3 linked regions of the Arabidopsis thaliana genome follow. The protein of the gene in region 1 binds, or shares a complex with, the protein of each later gene. Each region holds a gene or a part of one and is shown in the gene's direction. Other genes may lie near its edges.

What was found. Proteins that work in one complex are often made in the same cells at the same time.
Region 2: RIP3 (region 1) and RAC10 share a complex: the UniProt entries of both Arabidopsis thaliana proteins name them as parts of the active ARAC10-IRC5-KIN13A complex.
Region 3: RIP3 (region 1) and KINESIN-13A share a complex: the UniProt entries of both Arabidopsis thaliana proteins name them as parts of the active ARAC10-IRC5-KIN13A complex.

The regions. Positions count from the first base shown.
Region 1 is NC_003074.8:19,778,613-19,786,208, reverse strand, and holds RIP3 (ROP interactive partner 4), read left to right. Parts: upstream 1-3,507; 5' UTR 3,508-3,671; intron 3,672-3,978; exon of another isoform or gene 3,979-4,584; 5' UTR 4,585-4,653; coding exon 4,654-4,673; exon of another isoform or gene 4,674-4,711; coding exon of another isoform or gene 4,712-4,764; coding exon 4,765-6,019; 3' UTR 6,020-6,127; downstream 6,128-7,596. Other genes in the region: AT3G53360 (Tetratricopeptide repeat (TPR)-like superfamily protein), read right to left, coding at 1-1,707. UniProt on the Arabidopsis thaliana protein: ROP effector binding specifically activated ROPs and linking them to the microtubule cytoskeleton. Involved in ROP-regulated polar growth.
Region 2 is NC_003076.8:25,234,087-25,241,356, forward strand, and holds RAC10 (RAC-like 10), read left to right. Parts: upstream 1-2,876; 5' UTR 2,877-3,149; coding exon 3,150-3,254; intron 3,255-3,714; coding exon 3,715-3,802; intron 3,803-3,946; coding exon 3,947-4,056; intron 4,057-4,164; coding exon 4,165-4,228; intron 4,229-4,318; coding exon 4,319-4,383; intron 4,384-4,476; coding exon 4,477-4,542; coding exon of another isoform or gene 4,543-4,613; coding exon 4,614-4,726; intron 4,727-4,816; coding exon 4,817-4,853; 3' UTR 4,854-5,176; downstream 5,177-7,270. Other genes in the region: AT5G62865 (uncharacterized protein), read left to right, coding at 1-481. UniProt on the Arabidopsis thaliana protein: Involved in local disassembly of cortical microtubules when associated with ICR5 and KIN13A.
Region 3 is NC_003074.8:5,660,358-5,671,289, reverse strand, and holds KINESIN-13A (P-loop containing nucleoside triphosphate hydrolases superfamily protein), read left to right. Parts: upstream 1-3,338; 5' UTR 3,339-3,722; intron 3,723-3,793; 5' UTR 3,794-3,875; intron 3,876-3,974; 5' UTR 3,975-4,028; coding exon 4,029-4,217; intron 4,218-4,663; coding exon 4,664-4,885; intron 4,886-5,284; coding exon 5,285-5,464; intron 5,465-5,575; coding exon 5,576-5,677; intron 5,678-5,828; coding exon 5,829-5,906; intron 5,907-6,150; coding exon 6,151-6,232; intron 6,233-6,368; coding exon 6,369-6,531; intron 6,532-6,778; coding exon 6,779-7,108; intron 7,109-7,300; coding exon 7,301-7,519; intron 7,520-7,609; coding exon 7,610-8,180; intron 8,181-8,291; coding exon 8,292-8,357; intron 8,358-8,447; coding exon 8,448-8,630; 3' UTR 8,631-8,915; downstream 8,916-10,932. Other genes in the region: AT3G16650 (Transducin/WD40 repeat-like superfamily protein), read right to left, coding at 27-157; TCTP (translationally controlled tumor protein), read left to right, coding at 561-588, 918-991, 1,084-1,370, 1,464-1,581; TOC120 (translocon outer complex protein 120), read left to right, coding at 9,552-10,932. UniProt on the Arabidopsis thaliana protein: Internal motor kinesin involved in trichome morphogenesis. Participates in regulating the formation of Golgi-associated vesicles.

The DNA.
Region 1 (7,596 bases):
GCCCGCACTTTTCATTTCCTTGAACAATATGAGAGCTTCCTCTCCAAATCCAGACTGTGCATATCCAACTATCAAGGTGCTCCACGAAACTACATCTCTGTTATCCATTGAATCAAAAATCCTTCTCGCTTGCCCCAGTGATCCACACTTGGCATACATATCAATCAGTCCATTTTTTATAAATTGCTCAGGCGCCAACCCGGTTTTCAAACTATAGCAATGGACTTGGCTTCCCAACTTTAGAGATGAGATTTCCACACAACCCCGCAACAGATTACCCATAGTTATGTGATCTGGCTCACATTCAGACACAAGCATCAGCTTAAACAATCTCAACATCTCTACTGGCTGTTCGTGTTGCAAACAAGCCGTCAGAATAGTATTCCAAGAAACAGAATCTGCGTTGTTTCTGAAATCTTCAAATAAATTAAAACAACAATACAAGTCTGAGCAGAAGGTGTACATGGTAAGCAGAGAGTTGCAAACCGTAAGATCTGCCAGGAAACCCCACTTGATAATGTAAGAGTGAATTTGCATTCCTTGAGACAAAGCCATTGGTTTTGTCTGAGCACAAAGCAAAGAACGCAAGGAGATGGCATCAGGAATAAAACCAGAACTCCTCATCTGAGAGAAAACTGATACAGCCTCATCAGCGTAACCATTATTTGCAAGTCCAGCAATGATCACATTCCATGATGCTGTATCGGGTCTTTCTATCTGATCAAACACTCTCCTTGCAGAATTCAGGAAACCGCATCTAGCATACATGTCACAGAGCGAACAGCCTGCAATTGCGTTTCCAGCTAACTCCGACTTAATGCATAACCCATGTATTTGGCTTCCATAATCTGGTCTAAGGAGACTGCTACAAGCTTTTAAAGAACTACCAAATATATATTCATTTGGATGGAAAACACCAAAAGACAACATTTCTTTTAGGTGGCTCAGGGCTTCAAACTCAAACCCAAGTTGCGAGAACCCTGCAATGATTGAACTCCACGAAATTAGATCCTTCATTGGGATACCATAAAACACTCTGCTAGCATCTGACATTTGATTGAAGCGAACATACATAGCAATCAGAGCATTTTGAGCAATAAGATGAGAACTGGATTCCAACTTAATGACTTGAGCATGCAGTTGCTTCCCTAACCCAACATCACTACTACTGGCACATGCTTTGATAATGCTTCCAAATGCAAACTGGTCAGGAACTAAATCTTCCTGAAGCATTTTCAAGTATAATCTGATAGCCTCGGCTCCCTGACCGTTCTGTGAATAGCCAGTAATGACAGATGTGTAAGAGACCAAATTCCTTTCAGGCATAAAATCAAAAACCTCTCTGGCATCCCTCAGCGAGCCACATTTTCCATACATACTTAGAATGTGATTATTAAGAATAGTATCATACTTGCAGTTGGAATTCAAAATGTGATCATGTATCTTTCTGCCTTGTGCTAGAGATCTCGATGAAGAGCAAGCACAAATTAAAGAGATGTAGGTTCTTAACCTTATCTTGAAGCTTGAGTTCTTCTGCGCAAAATCAAACGCTTCCAATGCTTCCCGGTAGAAATTACTTTTACATAGGGAATTAATGTGATCATTCATTAATTCTTCGGTCTTGATGGTTGATACAACACTTGATGTTGCCAGTATCTGACTGTTGCTGACGGAAACTCTAGCTCCCAACCGTAACATTGTCGCCATTTCAGTTAACCTTTTTTAATCCAAACGAGTTCTTCCTAGCAAAAGAAGGTTCAGCGAGAAAGACATGTCACTAAACGAAGCATCCAACTAACCAAACAAAGAATTCTTTATCTTCGTCGAGAATGAAGGCAATATAATCCATTATATCAAACTTCTTCAAAACAGATACAACTGAATATTCTTGTGCAAACTCATATGTAGATGAACAAGTTGGATATCAGGACGGGCCTGTTTCAAGGGGAGACAAAAAAAAGTAATCAAATACCTTGTATATATATACATCATTCAAATTATATTAAAACTCAGGATCAAGCCAGTTAATTTCACAGCATAAATGCTTTAGCAACAAAGTGGTTAGTTTCACAGACATTTTATCGAGCAGGTGGTGTGCACAATGTAAAACAAAGAAAAACAGAAACCTTTGACGTAAGATTTTGATTATTTTTCCGACAATGTCTGAGTAAATGAGAATGGTGGAATCTGGCTCCAATTTCAATGATTCAAATTGAGGGACAAGGACGAAGAAAGAACCGCGTTATGGTTTTAGACTTTTTAGTGGTGTGGTGAAATTTACGTCGAGTTTTGAACGATACATATGGATACGAGTTACGGTTTCAAGTATGGTTCAACCGACGCGAATTAGATCGAACCGAAAATTTGATCGAAAAATGAAATCGTTGTCCGCCAGAACCGGATAAAACCGGAAATTGGGAGGCGGATGAAATTAGTTTTTGACTTTTTGTACATAACCAACCCATCATCAGTCGATCACTCACTCTCGGTCACTGAAAATTAAAAAAAGAAACAACACTAGCTAATTTCAAAATGTTTTATGATCAATGGTTTATAATAATTTCTAACATTTTTGCATAATCATCATCGCATGGTGGTGTTTAATTATTTAATTACTAGCCAGACAGTGTAGTGAATTTATTGTTGAAATACTTTCTTTTTATTCGTCAAAAGAAAAATTTGATTAGTAGTTCAGAAGTCACTAGTTAATACTCTAATAATCTAGTACTAGTGAATATAATGTTTTTACAAACCATTAATGTAATCAAGCTAATCGATCGTTAGCATAAATTTCAACGATATTTTCTCCCAATTTTTGTTTTCCGCCCAAATATATAGTTAAAGTTGTGTGGAAATAATATGTTAAGTAAATTAGCAAGCGTGTATGATAAATGAAGATAGTGATGATTGATTTTGCATTGTTTCTTTTAGGAGATGTGTATGTCGTATTTATCATGCATCGGTTTTCTATGAGGTGGTGTGAAAGTGAAACGTTACATGCTTCAATATATAGCACTTTCAAATGTATGTAGATTGAACACGGAAGGTTAATGTGTTTTTGTGAAAAATTGTGACAATTTTATGAAAATTTTCCATTTATAAAGTATATAGATATGCTAGGTTAGTGTCCTTTGTGTGTGAGTGACTTATGGTTGCGTGACCGTTCGTTGTTCATAAGTAGCAATATGAGGCCAAACAATAGCACGTGACTCGGGCGCGTCTACAAGGCGCGTAGTTAAAAAAACGCCCCCTCCACGTTCTTCTACTTTCGGTCCATTCTATCAATTAATTTCAAAATAGCCCCTGATATTTATTGATCTATTTCATTACCAACCCCACAAGTTTTTTTGATTATCCAAAATTTTAATTTTAATTTTTCGGAATAACCAAAAGGAATCCAACGTAAAAGGATTATAAAAATAACTAAGTACTGAAAATTGAGGTGGAAACAGCACAATCATTACTTCAGGGGTTACTTTTGATAAATATTGCAGTTTAGTTGAAAATAAATGTTTCTTCAGTGGGAAAAAACGACTCGCGAGTCCAGTGAGAAAAAAAGAATAACAATCCGACGAGAAAGAGGAAAGATCAAATCATCTAAGTGCTGGTGCCTTGATTCTGCAGTTCTCCATTTTAATCCAACAAAAAAAGAAGCTGAATCGACGGTATAGGTGAATACTTCTTCACGACTTTTTCAAACACTCAGAAACTTCTCTTCCTTTCACATTGATTTATTCCTAATTTTAGTGCGATTTTTTCCTTTTTTTTCTCAGAAGTTTATCAATCTTGTTAGGTAGATATTTACTACTAGTTTGTTTTTTCTACTAATTTGCTGAAGAAAGTGTTAATCTTTGGTTGGTTTAAGGTATAAATTTGCTTACATCTACTCAAATCAGCTAACTTTTATTTTGGTTTGGTAGCTTAAAGATTCAGTCAAAAAAAACTTTAATCTTTGTTTTCCTGCAAAAAGCAAAAGTGTTTCTGTAATAAAACACCTTTTTGCAGAGAATGTTAAAAGATTCTCTAGTTTTAGGCTTTATGTAAAAACGATTTTTTTGCTGGGTGTTCTGTTTTTGGATCTGTGTTTCTTTTTTGGGAAGATCCACCCAATGAAACCAAATCTCACATTACAAAATGACAAGAAATTGTCTCTTCTTCCCAATAATTCCAAAACTTTGATTTAGTAAAAAATAAAATAAAATAACTGGGTGACTTAACAACCAGAAAGATTATGTGTAAGATATTGGTGCTTTCTTTGCTTGTAATAGGGTTTATCTTTGGTGATTTGATGAATCACATTGACGGCAACTTCTTTTCTAATTACACTTCTAAATATTTTATATATTTGGAATTGTTCCAAATCATTACAATATTCATTTGTTGTCTCTTTGCTTTCGTTTGGTGGTAATAGGAGTCTCTTTGAAGCTAAATGTGTAAATATTATTCTTATGTTTTTTTCGTACACTTGCTTAAGCTTTCTTTCTTCCCTGAGTTTGGTTGTCTATATGCTTATGATAAGTTTTTTTTTTCCCTCTGTTGCTTCTTTCTCACACTTTCCATTGGTCTTCATGTACTATTTGTCAGATTCTTCAAAGAAGCAATCATAACGCAATTGATTATATCCCCAAAAGAAAAGGTTTTTAAACTCCAAAAATGCAGACTCCAAAATCAAGGTGATGATCACAACTCTAACTTTGTGTTCTTGTTGTGAATGTTGTTGGAGTTATTGATCTGTTTCAAAGTGATTGTGATTGTGTGTGATAGGCCAGGATCATTGGAGCTGCCACAAAAGAAGTCTCCTTTACCAGCTCCCAAAGTTGTTAGGAGACTCAAACCAAGCGGAGCAGAATCCGATCCAAAAACCAAGACAATATCGAAAACTCAAATCCCGAAAGTAGTAGCTGATCGTCGCTCTGCAAGAATCCCTCTCAATGAGGTACTTTTGCAGTTAAAAATTGTTGGTTTGGTTTGGTGTATGCAAGTTTTATATATGGTGATTCTTGATTATGTTCTTTTCAAGATTCAGAAGAAGCGGACGGGAAGGATACCGGAACTGGAATCTACGATATCTCAGCTTCAAGAAGAGCTTAAGAAGGCAAAAGAAGAGCTAAACAGATCAGAAGCATTGAAAAGAGAAGCTCAAGAAGAAGCTGAAGATGCCAAGCATCAGTTAATGGATATCAATGCCTCGGAAGATTCAAGAATTGAGGAGCTGCGTAAACTCTCGCAGGAGCGAGACAAGACATGGCAGTCTGAACTTGAAGCTATGCAGAGACAACACGGAATGGATTCTACCGCTCTGTCTTCTGCCATTAACGAAGTTCAGAAACTGAAATCGAAGCTCTTTGAGTCCGAGTCTGAGTTAGAGCAGTCTAAGTATGAGGTAAGGTCTTTAGAGAAACTCGTCAGACAGCTCGAGGAAGAAAGAGTAAACAGTAGAGACTCTTCATCATCAATGGAAGTGGAAGAGCTGAAAGAAGCAATGAATCTTTCAAGGCAAGAGATAACACAATTGAAATCTGCAGTTGAAGCAGCAGAGACAAGGTATCAAGAAGAGTATATACAGAGCACATTGCAGATAAGAAGCGCATACGAACAAACAGAGGCGGTTAAATCAAGATATTCACAGAGAGAAGCAGAGTTAACGGAAGAATTGAACAGAACCAAAGATGAAATCGAAGGTTTGCGCAAAGAGTTAATGGAGAAGGTGAAAGAAGACGAATCTACGGGCGATTTGAAGAAGCTAGAATCGGATTTGATGGAAGTGAGAGGGAGTTTAATGGATAAAGAGATGGAGTTGCAGATTCTAAGGAGTGCAATGGAGAAGAAAGTGGAAACCGCAAACACGGAAGCCATGGAAGCTGAGCTTAAAAGAGTGAAGATTCAATGTGAGCAATGGAGGAAAGCTGCTGAGACGGCAGCTTCTATACTGAACAATGATGAGGAAAGAACAGATTCTATTGAGACTAGCAAAATGTTGAAGAAGTTTGGTGTGTTACTCAAGAAAAACCATAAGTAATAATAATACTGATTCTTTTTACTTGATTTAATAAAAATGGCATTATTGTTGTATGTAAATTTATAAAATTTCGATTTGTCTAAGTTTAATTTTTTTGTTGAAACGTTGCCACATTTGTTGATGAAATTTGTATTGTGAAATGTTGTTTGAATTCAATACTTGAAAAATTATACCTTACTTGTCTGAGTGTGAGCTGCTAGTAGCAAATTTAGTTTGGTCCTGTACATTGGTTTACACTTTACATGTATAGAAGAGTCAAGAGTGTAAAGTAAAAGTTTGTAATAGAATGTGAAACTCTAATTAAGAAGCCACATGAATACCTCTCAAGTCTTGGATCTTCCTTTTGACATTTTCTTCTGTCTATTTTCCTTTTTGTTGCGCACTAAACGCTGAGACGGCCCACTAGATTGTCTTTGGTAATGACAACCAAATCCACTTCATGAAAACATTTGACTTTTTTTTTTTTGGCAGAGACTAACCCATTCTACCTAGTTTTTAGATATCAGTGACAATAATTAATTAACTACTAGAAAATGTCCCACGCGATGCGTGGGTGAAATGAATGTAGTGAAATATATGTCTATAACTAATATATATTAATATAATATTAATTATTTTATAATACATTCAATAAAAAATATCATAAATATTGTGATTATGATATTTTAGTTTTAAACTAAACATTTAGTTTATGAATTATAATCTAAAATTATTTTGGGTATTTATAAATTAAAAATTATCGAATTGATCAAAAAAGAAAAATTATAATATTGATATACAAGATAAGCCTTGTGTTTTATTTAAATATATGAAAATGATATGCAATATTTCTCTGAGTAAAAGATTTCATAAGTATATATCATATTGATTATAGTATGTGTGTAAATTGTAAAGTAGTTAATAGATTTGAAGTTGTGAGATTGATAAAGTCTTGATTAATGAGTAAGATTAACATATATGAATATTGATATATTAATACTAATTGATATCAAAAGAACTCTAAATACTTTATACAATTAATATTCAAATTATTTACTATTTCTTCCATCTTTGAACAATATGGTAAGAAAGTATTGAATTTATTTACTAATGATTTACTATTTACACATGATTTTCAATAAAGAAGTTTAAAGTTATTTCGATGCACATAATCAAATATTGAAGAAAATATACCATAATTCGGTTGAAAACTAAATAAATTTAAAATTTAAAGTGCAATGTAACAAGTAACAACATACAAAATAATTTAAATTAACAGAACTTCCCACCAATGATATCAATGAAGATTATATATTTTGTATAGTTTCATCATTCATCAAATCTCGTAGGTTATATATTATCTTTATCCATGTAATTTATTTCTATATTACCTCATTTGCCAACAAATGCATCAAAAGACGAATTATTATGGTCACTATAAAACTTAAGAAACGAAATATAGTGTAAATTTAGCATGATAAGTAAAAGATAAACATTCTTTCAATTACTATGATTAGTAAAATGAGTTATAAGTTACTGTTTAGTACATAAGATTAATAATAAATCAAATGTGTACAAATAGGAATAATGTTTGTATA
Region 2 (7,270 bases), on another chromosome or scaffold:
AACCCGAGATCCTGATACCCGGTACGATCAACGTTGCTGTTGTTTCCCCAGCTTCCGCCGATCAAGAAGCTCCACCGCCGTTGGTTACTCCTCCTGGGGACGAATTCGAACCGTCGATGACAGTAATCACAGCGGCGACCACGGCGACGAGCCACGTTGGTGGATCCGAGCATCCTTGAAGATCCGAGAGTGGTCAGAAATCGTTGCTGGTCCACGGTGGAAGACTTTCATTCGTCGATTCAATCGCGATCCACGACGCGGCCGCGATTGGGACGCAAGCGAGAAGTTTCAATACGATCCTTTGAGTTACTCTTTGAACTTCGATGACGACGACGAGGAGGATGAATACGTCGGACTAGGTGGATTACGAAGCTTCTCGACCCGATTCGCTTCTGTCCCGGTTTACTCAGGTAAAGCTCCGGCGATTTCGCCGACGTCGTTGTCTGCGTTGACGCCGCGTAATGAGATCATTGAAAGTTAGTGGGCGCGTGTGAGAAACGCGTTTGCGTTTCTGGCGGCGGGGAAAAGGCTGTCAAAATGGTTGACTGGTTTGGTTTACATCGTTTTTGGAGTCTGTCGCGTTTTCTTATTTAATCATTCTGTTTATATAATCAACTTTGAATTAATTTTATTATTTTCCCAGTTTAATTAATTTATTTATCAACCAAATTTTATGTTTCTTGAAAGAGAAGCAATATTTTGTTTCTTTTTTGAGGGGATATTGAACTTGTTGTGGCTAATATAATATAATTTTATGTAAATTAGCTGTTTAGCATATGTGGAAGTAATGATTTAGTTAATCATGGTTGCTTGACATGATTTCTTTATTTTTATAATCTATACTCATTTTTAAAATTCCACTCAAAAACTTTTCTGTTTTCCAAAGATATAGTTACCGTTAAAGCCGAGTAAAGAGAAGAAACTATCAATCGTTTGGGGTAGTATGTAATGAACCAACAACACTTTTCCCAATTCAAACTTCAAACCTTTCTATTGGAAGCCATAAACGAATGACGATCATTGATCAAAACATTCAAATACATTTTTTCGTTTCTCTCAATTTATTAAGGAACTACATAACGATTTACATGTTCTAGAGAGAAAACTGTACCGAAGAATCGATTCACCTTCAGATTCATAAGAATGGTTCAAAATTCATAAGACCAAAAGAAACAGCAAATTAAAGAAAACAATAAAAGAAGGGACCGATAGGAACAAAGAGGGAGAAAACACGTGACCTGGCAAGGGACTTCCATTACGTGGGTCGGCTCGTTTCGGATGTGGCCCATATATTGAGTTGTCGGGCCCGTTGCATTTGTTTGTTGAGTTCATATGATATATTCGAAAAAACTTTTACTTTTTCAATATTAACCCAACTTCAAATCCAATAACCATATTTCTTACTGCCAAAACTCGGATTTGTGATCTTCAAGTCTTTTTCACTTTATGGATAATTTCCACTGTTAATCACGTTTTGCTTTTACGCGCATCAACTGTTGTGGAAATATATATTTATCGTTTGTTCTTGTTTCTTTTCAATGACGCTATCCTTACACCAGCACGACATATGCTCCTGTTACATGTCTTCCTTAGAGACCAAAAGTTATGGATTCACTTGTACACACATACACATATATTGATTTAGTTTAATGTGATTACTAGTCTCCTTTTGCGATTTTCGTTCTTACTAGTCTCTATATTTATCTGGTTTAGGCCATACTTTTGTCATTGTATTGTATTATTAATCAGCTACTTTAATTTGTACTTGTATTTTGGAGCTTTTGGTGGAAATAACTTGCAAAATACTAAAATATTGGACCAGAGAGCGATAAGTTCCCGTGGTCGTCCTTTTGAAGACCTCTCTAGTTAACAATACTTTTGCATTTTCATATTTATGGTGGTTGCGTCGCCGTCGATATAGTCGTAGGTATTACTCCAATAATTAACTTACCTTATAAAATAAAATCATTTATCTTCTGCTTTTGGTAGATGTTCACACAGTTTGGCTCCAACATCCACCTATAAATGATTATTTAAACACATGACAAAAACACTTTTACTTTCTAAACCATGAGTCTGCAATTATATCCATAAACAAACAAAAAGGAACTATTTGGTAAGAGTATTCAATTTTTAATAACTGTATTAAAAGTTGCTTTGTGAATATTGAGAATTTTTATTGCTGGTTGTTGCCAACGAAACTCTTGTTGGCAATTTTAAATATCTTGAGTAAATTAAATTAGATGATAAGTTTTTTTAAAAGTAGGTCCACATAAAAAAATCCATATATCCTAATATAATAAATGAATATCCTAAACTAAAATTACAATTTTAGAATTATCAGTTTTACACTTGTGAATTGTGATATAAGTAATGTTGAAAGGTTGGTCTTAGTGATTTTGCTATAAATTTTTGTTGCTATGATATTCTATTATTTTATATATTTTGTAACCCTAGCTTGTAAGTTATGCTATATACATTATATGATATGTAAGTCTCGAGAGAAAAACAAAAATAGCAAAACATGTATTCGACAGTACATGTTAATGTATACAAATATGGTATATCCATCTTCACTTGTCACTGTGTGGCTCAACGTGACACTATTATTAACTTGACGAATATCTACCTTCTCTTATAATTCGATTCGTAACGCCATACTTGTATGTAATACACATTATTTCATTTTCTTACAATCCAATACAAGTGTAATAAACACTTAAAAAAAAAAAAACAAGATTGAACCACCAAGATTTGGTTAACAAATTCCAATGCAAATTTGCTCGTTGGAGTAATAAATGAACTACAAGAATTTGGAAAAGGAAAGCTTGGACGATGGATCATGTGAGTCATCACCGCTCTTTCTCTATCTTCAAGTTCAAACCAAAAACAAGCCACCAAATACCAATAAACAATTTCGTTTATCTAATTGGAAATATTGAAAAAACAAACAGAAAAAAGTAAAAAAGGAACAGAAAAAAAAGCCATAAATTTATGCAACAAACCCTACCTTCTTCTATGCTCTAAAGAGGGTTTATTTATCTTTTACTCCTCTTTTTAAGTAATCTCACTTCATTTATCTCTCTCTCTCTCTCTATTTCTTTTGCTTCCTTTTGGTATTTGCTTTGTATGTTTGTTTTGAGATCAAAATGGCTTCAAGTGCTTCAAAGTTCATCAAGTGTGTGACTGTTGGTGATGGTGCTGTTGGTAAAACCTGTATGCTCATCTGCTACACCAGCAATAAATTCCCCACTGTAAGTTCTCTTTAAAAAGACCTCTCTTTCTCTCTTGAATTTTGATCAGGAATCTCATCTGGATTTATCAGATTTAGCTCAAATTTTACAAAATTTTAATCAATTTCAGTATCTGGGTCTACTAAATTTCAGCTTCTTATTGCCATAAAGGTTCTTAGAATCTATCTGGGTATGTCAAAGTTAGCTCCTTTTTCCTAGGAACTGTGCATGATATAAGATCCATTTTTGGAGATTTTGATTTTTTTTACTTTTCATAAGTATGTGTGGCGCATCTGGGTTTTTGCAGCTTTTGTGTATAGTCCAGCTTTATGTTATCTTTTTTCATTTAACATCCTCTGGAGTCTGGATTCGTCAGACTTTTTCTTCATTGCTATTATTATTATTATTATATGTATATATGCTTGATTTGATGATTGAAAGTTTGAAACTGTGTATTGATTTGATGAATTGTTTGTAACAGGACTACATACCAACAGTTTTTGACAACTTTAGTGCAAATGTTGTTGTTGAAGGCACCACTGTCAATTTGGGGCTTTGGGACACTGCTGGTATGAACACTCTTTCTGAGTCTTGAATCCTATAGTGGTTTATAACATTCTTATTGGTCTAGTTCTTTCATTTGGTTGATAAATGAGATCCATTGAATAGCTTTGTCTCATATGAGGTTACATATGTATATCCTTTGTTTGCAGGGCAAGAAGACTATAACAGATTAAGGCCTTTAAGTTACAGGGGAGCAGATGTTTTCGTCTTGTCTTTCTCATTAGTCAGCCGAGCTAGCTACGAGAATGTTTTTAAAAAGGTCTGATTGAATAAATGATCCTTTTCTCTAATTGTTGAAAACGATAAGACTCTTATAGTGTCAGAATGAGTCATTTCTAATGTTATATGACTGTTCTTATTGAGTCAGTGGATCCCTGAACTCCAACACTTTGCTCCAGGAGTTCCCCTTGTCCTTGTTGGTACCAAATTAGGTAAGAATAACCGATGAGCATTTACCAACAGATTCCTCTTAACCGTTTAGTTACAATTCATAGCTAATGATTCTTACAACACTGGTGTAGATCTTCGTGAAGATAAGCATTATTTGGCTGATCATCCTGGACTATCCCCTGTAACTACTGCACAGGTTTAGTCTTAAAGAGCCTTTTTACTTTAGATTTCATATAATTCCACTATAAGGCTTGATGGTATTAACTAAATGAACATTTCTATCTGATAGGGAGAGGAGTTGCGTAAGCTAATTGGTGCGACGTATTACATTGAGTGTAGTTCAAAAACTCAACAGGTATATGAGGCAGCTTCTTTATGTTACTCTTTTCTTCGGATTAACAAAGCGATGAAGTTTATATATTGCAGAATGTGAAAGCAGTTTTTGATTCTGCGATAAAGGAAGTGATCAAACCTCTGGTTAAACAAAAGGAGAAGACTAAGAAGAAGAAGAAGCAAAAGTCGAATCACGGCTGTTTATCGTGAGTATATATACAAATCTTTACAAACTCTGCATCTACAATCTTATGAAGGGTACTGATTTCACCTTTGTGTTTATTTTGTATGTGCAGAAATGTTCTGTGTGGGAGGATAGTGACTCGGCATTGATGACGATGACCCAACTCAGTCTGATGATTTTAAACTCCACTTTTGAGATTGTGTGATAAACGAGAGACTTTATATTATATAGATTGAATCATGTAAGAGATTATTAGCCTCTAATCAATCAATAGTTACCTTGAAGAGAGAAAGAGGGGGAGGTAGAGAGCTTATTATTAATTCAATTGTGTTTATTTGTTTCAAACCTGTTATTGCAATATATTAGCCATTTTGATACAACAGAGAAGCTCTCTCTTCCTTCGCTTAACCCTGTGAAGACAAGCAGTTATTGTCCTACATTAGCAATCAAGTAATTTTATTTTGTTTGTTAATGTTGATCTCTTGTCGTTACATTGTCCAGTGTCAGTCAAATCACTGTCCTCAAAGTACAACTGACCAAACTTTGTCTCTCTTGACATAGACATTAAAACTTTCTACATAAGAGTCTCATATTTCAGTAGTCGCAGGCTAATTCCAGTCGGTTCCAATGACACATTGTCTTCAAGATTTTGAGACAGCAGTTCCAAAGGTTTTTTTATCTTCCACCTGACCAAAAAAAGGAGATTAAGCCATAAAAAGATGGAAGCGACGAACTCAGTCGAAGACTTTCCGATGAGACTCGAGTACACGAGAAACGACCACTGGACTCACCAGACCAGTCCCAAAGGCAAATAAATAACGGAGTAAAAAAAAAAAAAAAAACGCCGAGTTTCATCTAAACATAATAGAACAAATGTCAATGGGTCCGAGAGAGCCTGTAAGAGCATAAATGGGCTTTAATCGGGCCAAATTAAATGTAACTCTTTCTGTTGTTGTTTTTCCGGTGTACCTCTCTCTGTTTTTTTTTTAGCTCTTTTTGGAAAAAGCAACTTTTTCTTGATTTCTTTTTGACGTGAAAGCAGGCTTTTCTGTTAGGCAGATAAAAGCATATTTTTATTACTTAAGACCATTTCCTTCGTAAAAGAAAGCAAAAGAAATATATAAACCGGACAAGGTTAAAAGATATGCGACACTTACACATCAAGTCATAAATTAGAAACAACAAGAACATGATTACTTATTTATTTGAGTTGGTGAGATCGGAGTTACAACACACAAGTTTCTATTGGGTATGGGGAAGAGAGAATGACAGGAAGAGCAGGGAGAGGGCTCGTTAATCTAAACCAACCATGACCCAAGTAGCCAACCTTTTTTTTTCCTCTTCAAAATTTCACATTCTTTATTCGAGATTATACTACTTATAAAGTATAATAACTAGCTCATTCAAACAAAACAAAAAGTGCTGTAAGGATAACACTATCAACGCGTGTTAAGAAAAGTAACACTTTTGAACTTCTTTTTACCATTGACAAATTTTAATAGTTACAACCATGTCATTGCTTTATTTAACAATTTTAAAAAGGAAATCTAAAATGTACATAAACCTTTAGCTAATTTACAAATATATCATATTCTTAATGCATCTACAACAACCATATTATGAACTCTAAATACTAGGATTTGTAACCGGATTCGGTTTATTTGGACTACAAAGAGTAAAAATGGACTTTGTCCATCTCATCTAGCCAATGTTTTATAAGATTCTATATTGGGTGCATCATGCATGTGTCTCTCTTGCTCACACCCTACATCTACCCATCGTTTCAGCCACAATTATGTATATATTTTTTTGTCTTCAACATTTTAGCTCATATGCACCAAATTTTCATGAAAATGTTTGTTTATCAATCATATTCATCATGTGTTGTTAGCCATTAATTTCGATGAGATTGCAAATCTTGAAAAAAAAAATGGAATTATGTGGGGGAAAAAGTAAAGAATGGCACATGAAGAGAGTTTTGCGTAATTCCCAAAAGTAAAGCCAGAAAGATTTTTCTCCCACCCCATGTGCTTACTCTCCCCAGTCCCCACTTTTTCTTAATTAAATTCATATTTCTTCCATTTTTATTTTTCGGCTTTTAATTTCTTAGCATACTTTTAAAAAAAAAATATTGTCACACTTTTTAGGCCGATTTTGACTGAGTTACACAGGTCAATAATGCTCCCAATTCGGCGGACTATAGTTATTTTAGTGGACATTTGTGTTAACTAATTTTGTGGCAAAAAGAAACTCGGAACAAATTAAACCATAACTGATTTAGACTAAATTATATAATGTAATGGCCATTATGTATTAACTAAAGACAAAAGTAATACTACGATCTACGATAATACAAAAAAAAAATTCAGAATATCGCGTCATTATCAACTTGACACCAACTTGTGAGTCTCCCAAACTCAATGATTATGTGGTCATTATCGGTGGTGTTTTTAAAAAATACTATGAAAACTCGCTCTCACTAATATCAAGTGGCTTACACACTTGATTGACTAATCAATAGTTTATCACTACTACTATAATGTTTCAGGCTAGATTTTCCATCACG
Region 3 (10,932 bases), about 14 Mb from region 1:
CATTGCAAGCGAAACTGTTGATTAACCTTTCAGGATCAGGCTGAGGAAATTGGCCATGGACGGGGGAGAAAATTTCACGAGCTCGTCTAACAGATTTTAGACTGAGTTTTTTCAGTGACTGAGTTTCGACCTCCCTGTTCAAAGCTATCATCGTCATTCTAGGGTTTTACACGAACAATCAGAAACAGAACGAGAAAGACGGAAGAGAAGAGAGGGAAATAGGATTTTATCCGACCCGAACACTATTTATACGTAGCCCAACACTCGAATCCCCACCCGTTGGACCAAACCCGGCTCATTAAGCGTCGGTTCAGATTTATTTCCTTTATTTAAAAAAAAGGAAAGGGTAAAAAATAGAAAATTGGAAACAGTTAAAGCCCAAAATTGTAATTTACCGAGAATTGTAAATTTACCTGAAAACCCTACGCTATAGTTTCGACTATAAATACCAAACTTAGGACCTCACTTCAGAATCCCCTCGTCGCTGCGTCTCTCTCCCGCAACCTTCGATTTTCGTTTATTCGCATCCATCGGAGAGAGAAAACAATCAATAAGCGACCATGTTGGTGTACCAAGATCTTCTCACCGGTAAGCTCAATAATTCCTTAATCTCGGTATGAACTGTGTAGCTATCGATCTTTTTCTTCCGATCGGAATAAATCATGTTATCGAATTGTTAGATCTGTCATCGCATCATAGGTTTTTCGTTGATTTGCTGCTCTTTGCATTGATAATTCAAATCTTAGGGGATTAGTTTATGTGATTTGGTTAGATCTGTGATTCATTAGTATATAAACGTCCTTTAATTGAGCTTACCGATTCGTTGTAGATTGGATTTTAGGGTTTATTCGCTTGTATCGATTAATGTTTGGGATCTTATGAGTAATGACTAAAGAGTCTGGGCTATTGATTTACAGGTGATGAGCTTCTGTCTGACTCTTTCCCTTACAAGGAGATTGAGAATGGAATCCTCTGGGAAGTAGAAGGAAAGGTCAGTGTCATCGATTCTACTTCAAGTTTTGTTTTGATTTTGTTAAATTTTTGTTTTCCTGTTCTGAATTGGGTTTTGATTTTGTTATCCAGTGGGTTACTGTGGGAGCTGTAGATGTTAACATTGGTGCCAATCCATCTGCTGAAGAAGGTGGTGAGGATGAAGGTGTTGATGACTCTACTCAAAAGGTTGTTGACATTGTCGACACCTTCAGACTTCAGGAGCAACCAACTTATGACAAGAAGGGATTCATCGCTTACATTAAGAAATACATTAAGCTTTTGACACCCAAGCTCAGCGAAGAAGATCAAGCTGTCTTCAAGAAGGGTATTGAGGGAGCTACCAAGTTTTTGCTCCCCAGGCTCAGTGACTTCCAATTGTAAGTTACCCCAATCTATCGTATCTTGCTTGTTATACATGACATATATTTCATCTGAAATCTCATCAATGCTTGTGTTGTCTGATTTTACAGCTTTGTTGGGGAGGGTATGCATGATGACAGCACTTTGGTCTTTGCTTACTACAAGGAGGGTTCAACTAACCCAACATTTTTGTACTTCGCTCATGGTTTGAAGGAGGTCAAGTGCTGAGAGAGAAGCTCTCGTTGGGTTACTGTGGTCGGTCGCAGCGACTCTCTAAGTTTATGTTTCTTTATATTGTCCTGTGTTTCGTCGTCGTCCCCTATTAAAATTACCTGCCAGTTTACTTTTCTCTCTTCTTGTTTTCTGTGTTGGAAGATTCTCAAGTTATTTATTCCGCAAAAAACGGTTTATCATTTACAATTAGTTGAATTTTGGTCGTTACTTTTTGTGTTATTTGGTGTGATATCTCTTCAGCTTTGCTTTTCTAAATTAAACTCCCGAATCTCGAGGCATGTTTATAGTAGATGTCTAATAATTTTGGATTCAGATCTTATGGACGTGAATAAACGAGTGGGTTACTCTAACTGTTAGTAACTTTAAATCATGGAATATGCTGTAGAATGATTCTTTTGACTTTAGTCTAATGGTGTTTTATCCCTTTAAAAAGAAAAAGTTTCGTACAGACATGATGTCTTGAGACATCATCATAGGCATGTTCTGCTCCTTATCAAGGATTTCTATCTCACGTGCGGAATCGATACTAACTAGAGTTCTGTCATCTTGGTTTTAGTTGTGAGACAAATCACAATGTGGCCGTAATAATAATGTATTATGTGTATTCTTTTACTTTGACAAACAACACAACCTATCCTATGCTTTACTATTCTTTTAGTTTGTTGGTTTTATTATTCGAACTATTTATTTATGTATGTGTGGTGTCCGTATGGATGAGAGGGCAACCAAAATGCGTTGGTACGTATTTGTGTCTCACGTAAAAGGAAACGTGATTTGGTCTTGGTCGGTTTGACGTTGCTCCAACTCTCTTGTATCTTATGTATTTATCGTCATTATTTCTTCAAACTTTGTTGTTCCTTTCGTTTTAGGCTTTTAGCCTACACTATTTAAACATTTCTTATGTAACAAGTAGTATCAACTTCTATCTATATGACTATATTGACGTAGCCATACAAAGGAGGTAGATCATCTAAACTTACACAAAACTAGAGAGACCAATGTTTTTAGGAAGGATAAATAAAGGAAAAGCTCCTTTCATACTGGTTTATATAGTGATTACTTAAAATCAGGAATCCTTTAGATCGGAATGCTTTAGGCTAAAGCAAAAGCTTTTTGATTCAAAAGAAAGGAACCCACAAGCTGTATTAGCCCCACTTCGCTACTTTTGCATATTCTCGTTCGTATATTTTATTGGATTAACACTTTTTTTTGGGGTTTAAACAGTACACATACATACACAAGATTGGTACTTTTGATATACACTCACTTATATTCGCACATCTAAACAATTCAAAATTTGAAACCGTATAAAAATTTAAACAAACATAAGAATATATAAGATTAGATCATTGTCATGTACTAAAATTCCAAAAGTTGTGGATTTCATGTCGAGAAAAACTCATGTCATCTTCCTCGGACAATTTCAAATTTCATCTCTATTACCATAGATGGTCCAAAACAACATCCTTAAATACCATAAAGTAGCTAAAATCTGAAAATGCACATAACTGATCAACCCACCAAGGTTATATTATTAGTTATACTACATATATAATAAACCAATCAATGTTTATGCAATCTGCTCAAAAAGGTATGAGATTCATACCGTATGATTCAAGATGAGAACATCAATTCTATTTTTATGTCACCATGTTGGTATATGTCCTTGTGTCACGATCTCAGCAAAAAAATAATATTTCAACACTATCTTTTAGAATATATAAGACCGTTCAAAGAAGATTGTTTCAAATGTTTTGGACTAGACTGTACAATCTTAAAAAGTAGGACAAATCGGTGAATATTTCTGAAGTTAAAGGGTGATCTAACTGTCACTTTTTTAAAAAACTTTTAAACACCTCAAACTTTTTAATTTATTGTGTAAGTGTCTTATACTTTGTCAAATCTTCTTCAACGCCCCTCTCTTTCTCATCTCTCTGCGCCTAACGTCGCTTACGGAAGAAGACGAAAATTTTGAACAGAAGCTCTCTCTCTCTATCTCTCTATCTCTCTATCTCTAACGCTATTCGATGTGCGTAAATTAGGGTTCTTCACTCGTCGGATCTGATTGTATATTGTGAAAATCTCAGATCTCAGATCTCTTATCTAACACCGTTGCGTGTCTTCGTTTCCTTCTGGTAATCATTACTTTGGATAACATCGATCTTCTTCTCCGATTATTGGATGCAATTTATTGATTGAATTTCAGATTTTGAAGGAGGTGAAGCAAAGTCGGGAGCTGTACATTTCCGCTTTCATGTTCTGTGTTGAATCCGAATTCTCTCCACATTGTGAGTTTCTCTTCGATTTGAATCTAACATTCTATTGTTGAAATTAGGAATTTTTTGATTTGTAACAAATGGGTGATTCTGGTTTTTGTATGGATGAAGAGTTGTTTTTACAGATCTCCGAAGTTGGCTCCTCAAAGAAGATCACAGCGCCTCATGGGCGGCCAAATGCAGCAAAACAATGCTGCGGCTGCGACGGCGCTTTACGATGGGGCTTTACCCACTAATGACGCAGGAGATGCAGTCATGGCACGGTGGCTTCAATCCGCTGGTTTGCAGCATTTGGCGTCTCCTGTTGCTTCTACAGGCAATGATCAGCGTCACCTCCCAAACCTTCTCATGCAGGTAATTGCTTTCCCTGATTCTTTGTTTCTGTACTCTTCCAATATTTTGCATGCCCTTTAGTTTTCTTGATGGAGTTTGCCCTAGCTTGGTAAAGTATGCAAATTTTGTATTAGACGCAGATAGCCAAGTTTTGTTAGAGTTTTCGGTCGCTAATTCCTGCGCACATTTGGTGTTAGACTACTAAAAACGCTGCAGTAGGAAATTAGGAATGTAGGATTGTTTCTCCCTGTTATGGATATTAGTCATAACGTATCTCAAGGAGAGCTTGGAATTTGTTTGGCCATTTATGTAATGTGATTAAGTTAGATGTTTGCTGCAGGGTTGTTAGTGATTTCTTCTTCGATTGGTAAATTTCTATAGAAACTTTTGCCTTGGCTCTTGTATAATTCGCATGAACGGGTTCTGATATTTGAAGCATCCTTTGTGGTGTTTGCGGTATCTGCTAGGGTTATGGAGCTCAGACTGCTGAAGAGAAACAAAGACTGTTCCAACTAATGAGAAATCTCAATTTTAATGGGGAGTCGACTTCTGAATCATATACACCAACTGCTCACACATCAGCAGCTATGCCCTCTTCGGAAGGATTTTTTTCACCTGAGTTCAGAGGTGATTTTGGAGCAGGATTATTGGATCTTCATGCAATGGATGATACAGAGCTTCTATCTGAGGTATGCTTGGAAGAAGAACTAGTGCAAAGACTTATTCATAGTTACTCATTAGTGCCCATGGATAACAGAAAGATCATAAATTTTCATCATCAGATTGTCTGTTCTTGTGTTACATCCCAGTTTTCAAACTGTTCTTGCCAATCTTACATTGCCATATTGAGTCCCACCTAATCCATTGGCTTTGTGCACATGTAATCTATCTGCGAGACTTCTGTAGGCAACTTCTGATCTTGACACTCGAATGGATTTAGCGAGATGTGACAGTTTTGGTCTTGTTGTCATTAGAAAAGCATCTGAGCTAAATAACTGCTTGTTGCATTTGCTAGTTCATAAAGAAAGCGATTATCCATGTGAAAGTTACCAACTTTTATGATACGTGACTTTCCTTTCATTTTGCAGCATGTGATTACCGAACCCTTTGAGCCGTCACCTTTCATGCCTAGTGTAAATAAAGAATTTGAAGAAGACTATAATTTGGCAGCTAATCGTCAACAGCGGCAACAGACAGAAGCTGAACCTTTGGGTTTATTGCCTAAAAGTGATAAAGAAAATAACAGTGTAGCCAAGATTAAAGTAGTGGTAGGTCATTCACTTGAGAACTGACATGTTTCCTTACTACTTGATTGTTTTATAAGCAACGTTCATTATGACTAGGGATGATTGGGAAACCACTTTTTTTTTTGTCTATAGGTAAGGAAAAGACCCCTAAACAAGAAAGAAACAGCTAAAAAGGAGGAGGATGTCGTGACGGTATCTGATAATTCTTTGACTGTCCATGAGCCCAGAGTGAAGGTTTGTGTGCATTCTTCATCATAGATAACAATGGCAAACATGATTCAGTTGAACAACTGAACGATGGCATCCTGCTATTAAAGGTCATATATTCTTTTCATTTAATATTGTCTTTTCGAATATTGAATGAACCGTAATCTTGTTGGTGCAGGTTGATTTGACTGCTTATGTGGAAAAGCATGAGTTCTGCTTTGATGCTGTTCTAGATGAGGATGTTTCAAATGACGAGGTAAGTTAAGAATTGAGCTTATTGGAAACCATAGAAAATCCTATTAGGTGTCCGTGATGCAACCTTGAGCTTTGGTAGATTTATGATTTATGTCAAGGTCGACATACCTGATTGACCTATTAACTAGATCATAGCATGTGGTTTCCCCCAATCCAGATTGGATTGATGTATGGATACATTAAGCTTTTTATATATACAGAAGCTTTATGCTGCTTTGAACATGTTTGTTTGTTTCCTTGAATAGGTGTATCGGGCCACAATTGAGCCAATAATTCCCATTATTTTCCAGAGAACTAAAGCTACATGCTTTGCATATGGCCAAACAGGTATGCAATGACATTAATGTTCATTGGGAAATACACTGATAGTTATACTCTTGCTAACAGATTCCAGTTTTTAGAGGATAATAGATTAATAGTTTCTTCATGCTTTCATGGCCCTAATGATGTTTTGCTTATTCAGGTAGTGGTAAGACATTTACAATGAAACCATTACCTATACGAGCAGTTGAAGATCTTATGAGGTTGTTGCGTCAACCAGTATACAGCAATCAGAGGTTTAAATTGTGGCTCAGCTATTTTGAGATATATGGTGGAAAGCTGTTCGATCTTCTCAGTGAGAGAAAGTTAGTGTTCTTTCTTTTTCTCATTTCTTATAAATGTCGTCTTTGTTGAGGGGTTTTATGTTTTCCTTTTCTTTTGGCATATACTTTGTTCAGGCATATACTAGCTTATAATTGTTATTTCGATGTCAGTATATCGTAAACATTGGCACTTATTCATCCTATCAGTGTCAATACTTTCCATTGTTGTCTACTACTATCGCAAATGCATGTTTACCATTGTCTAAATCATTCAGTTATTGCCGAGTAGGAAACTTTGCATGCGAGAAGATGGTAGACAGCAAGTTTGCATTGTTGGCCTGCAAGAATATGAAGTTTCAGATGTACAAATTGTAAAGGATTTTATCGAGAAAGGAAATGCCGAAAGGAGCACAGGTTCAACTGGAGCAAATGAGGAATCTTCTAGATCGCATGCCATCCTACAGCTTGTTGTAAAAAAGCATGTTGAGGTAAAAGACACTAGACGGAGGAATAATGATAGTAATGAATTGCCTGGGAAAGTTGTGGGAAAGATTTCTTTCATTGACCTTGCTGGCAGTGAAAGAGGTGCAGACACCACAGACAATGATCGCCAGACAAGGTAAAGATTCTCTTTGCCCCTGTGATTGAGTAGTTTGAGAATTGACCTACCACTAATGTGTAGATTAAAATTTATGCCTCTGTTGGACTTGTGGGCATTGATAAAGTGGCACTTTGCTGCTACCTTTTTACTTTAGGACCACCACACTTCAGATCTAAATGCTTCATTGTTTTCATTGTGGATTTTTCTTAGGATTGAAGGCGCAGAAATCAACAAGAGTCTCTTGGCTCTTAAGGAATGTATACGTGCACTGGACAATGACCAGCTACATATACCATTTCGTGGAAGCAAACTAACGGAAGTGCTCCGTGACTCATTTGTTGGAAACTCAAGAACGGTGATGATTTCCTGCATCTCTCCAAATGCAGGATCGTGTGAACATACCCTCAATACTCTAAGATATGCTGATCGGTATGTTTTGTACAAACTATAGCCTCTTGTGAAACAAATTCTCAATTTCATCGTCTATTAACCTCTGTTGGTTATGTATGGAATAAACAGAGTCAAAAGTCTATCTAAAAGTGGAAATAGCAAGAAAGATCAAACTGCGAATTCAATGCCTCCGGTTAATAAGGATCCTTTGTTGGGCCCAAATGATGTAGAAGATGTCTTTGAGCCTCCACAGGAAGTGAATGTACCAGAAACCAGGAGGAGGGTGGTCGAGAAGGACAGCAACAGCAGTACGTCGGGTATTGACTTCAGACAGCCTACAAATTATCGAGAGGAAAGTGGAATCCCATCATTCTCAATGGACAAGGGAAGATCAGAGCCGAACAGTTCTTTTGCTGGCTCCACTAGTCAGAGAAACAACATTTCTTCATATCCCCAAGAAACTTCAGACCGTGAAGAGAAAGTAAAGAAAGTGTCACCACCTCGTGGGAAAGGGTTGCGGGAAGAAAAACCAGACAGACCACAAAATTGGTCTAAAAGAGATGTCAGTTCGTCGGATATCCCTACCTTGACAAATTTTAGACAGAACGCAAGTGAAACTGCTTCAAGGCAATATGAAACCGCTTCAAGGCAATATGAAACCGACCCTTCGCTTGATGAAAACCTCGATGCACTGCTTGAGGTAAAGTACTCACCTATCCCTTTAAAACATGAGATGAAGCTGTGAATTTGATTTGCAAGTAACGGTAGTTCTGTTTATGTCTTATCGTAACCATCACATGACTTTTTTCAGGAAGAAGAAGCTCTGATTGCAGCGCACAGAAAAGAAATTGAGGATACAATGGAGATTGTTCGCGAGGTATGTAAATCACATCATTGCAGCGCACAAAAAACGATTGTAGAATGTTATCACATCATTCAATTTTCTTTTCTGTTATATCATTATCAGGAAATGAAACTTCTAGCGGAGGTGGACCAACCGGGAAGCATGATAGAAAACTATGTGACGCAACTGAGCTTTGTGTTGTCCCGGAAAGCAGCAGGGCTAGTCAGTCTTCAAGCCAGGCTTGCTCGGTTCCAACACCGTCTCAAGGAACAAGAAATACTGAGCCGTAAGAGAGTTCCTCGGTAGTTGGTAGAAGAAGGAAAACCAAAAGTGTGGTGTTGTTTAAGTGTGAAAGGTTGGTTGGGTGATCTCTTCTTATATATGACAAAGAATGACAGAAATGTCCTTCATGTTTGTGAATTTGGGCATTTCTTTCCTTTTATTTTTGAATCTTTATTATAAAGTTATACCTTTTGTGTTTCTTATTTTTCTCTTCTCCTCTATCCTCCCAGAAAGCTGGATACTGTCAATGTGAATCAAACTCTTTTATCAATCAACTGAAAAAGTATAAAACCATTTATCATCTGAAAATGTTTCAAAATTTGGTGAGCCATATATAAAATCAAATTTCTAACAATTAATAAGATCTTCAAATACCATCTATATAGTGACAACCAATGAAAAGACAGTTGAATAGCTCCAAAAGAACAAATAAAGCAATTCTCTCTTGTCGTAAAGATAAAATGGCCAACAAGATTATGCAGCCCAACTAAAAAGGCCTTGGCCCACACTTTACTATTGATCACGTGACATGCCTTTTTCACGATTGCAATATAAGAGCCATTTTCCACCGTCCGATGTTAAAACCCAAACCGATTTAAACCGTCCATGAAAGTCGCTTATCTCCTTCTCCTTCCCGTCGTAGTCGCACTGTCGCAGGCGAGTAAAAGGCGATTTATACAAATACAAAAAAAGCGCATGAAGTTGTTTTTTTTTCTTTCCAGACTTTTGCCTTCTCTAACCAGGTTAGATTCTCGCCATCACTTTTTCTCCTCAATATCAATAGATTCTTCTTTGTATTTTCTGAATTCCTATGAGCAAAATATACCTACGATTTGGAAAATATTAGTTTCACTCCCATTTAATTTAGTGTCTTGTGGATTTAAAAGTAACGAGGATACAAAATTTGGTTGGTGCAGTGTTTCGTGATTTTGGGTGATCCTAGAAATGGGAGATGGGGCTGAGATTGTAACCAGGTTATATGGGGATGAGAAGAAGCTTGCAGAGGATGGTAGAATTAGTGAGTTGGTGGGATCTGATGAAGTGAAGGATAATGAAGAAGAGGTCTTTGAGGAAGCAATTGGTTCGCAGGAGGGTCTAAAACCTGAATCTCTCAAAACCGATGTGTTGCAAGAGGATTTTCCTTTAGCTTCCAATGATGAAGTGTGTGATTTGGAAGAAACAAGTAGAAATGAGAGAGGAGTAGAAAATTTAAAGGTTAATTATTCGGAGATTGGAGAGAGCCATGGTGAGGTTAACGAGCAATGTATAACTACGAAAGAGGCTGATTCTGATTTGGTGACTCTCAAAATGAATGATTATGATCACGGGGAAGTAGCAGATGCAGATATTTCTTATGGTAAAATGGCATCAAGCTTGGATGTGGTTGAGAACAGTGAGAAAGCTACTTCCAATTTAGCTACTGAGGATGTGAATTTGGAAAACGGAAATACACATTCTTCTTCAGAAAATGGAGTAGTCTCTCCTGATGAGAATAAAGAACTGGTGGCGGAAGTTATCTCAGTAAGTGCCTGTTCCGTGGAAACAGGGAGTAATGGTATTGACGACGAAAAATGGGAGGAAGAAATTGATGTATCAGCTGGCATGGTAACAGAACAAAGAAATGGTAAGACTGGTGCTGAGTTCAATAGTGTTAAAATTGTTTCAGGTGACAAATCCTTGAATGATAGTATTGAAGTAGCAGCTGGGACCTTATCTCCATTGGAAAAATCTAGTTCGGAGGAGAAGGGAGAGACTGAAAGTCAAAACAGTAATGGAGGACATGATATTCAATCTAATAAGGAAATTGTAAAGCAGCAAGATAGCAGTGTAAATATAGGTCCAGAGATTAAGGAAAGCCAACATATGGAAAGAGAATCTGAGGTATTAAGTTCTGTTTCACCAACAGAGTCTAGAAGTGATACTGCAGCATTACCACCTGCTCGCCCAGCAGGTCTTGGTCGTGCTGCTCCACTTTTGGAACCTGCACCACGCGTTACACAACAGCCTCGTGTCAATGGAAATGTGTCTCACAATCAGCCTCAGCAAGCTGAAGACTCTACCACTGCAGAGACAGATGAGCATGATGAGACCCGTGAGAAGCTCCAGTTTATCAGGGTCAAATTTTTGAGGCTTTCACATAGATTAGGGCAAACTCCACATAATGTTGTTGTTGCTCAGGTTTTGTACAGGCTTGGATTGGCTGAACAGTTGAGGGGCAGAAACGGAAGCCGTGTTGGTGCCTTTAGTTTTGATCGTGCCAGTGCCATGGCAGAACAGCTTGAGGCAGCTGCACAAGATCCCCTTGATTTTTCTTGTACGATTATGG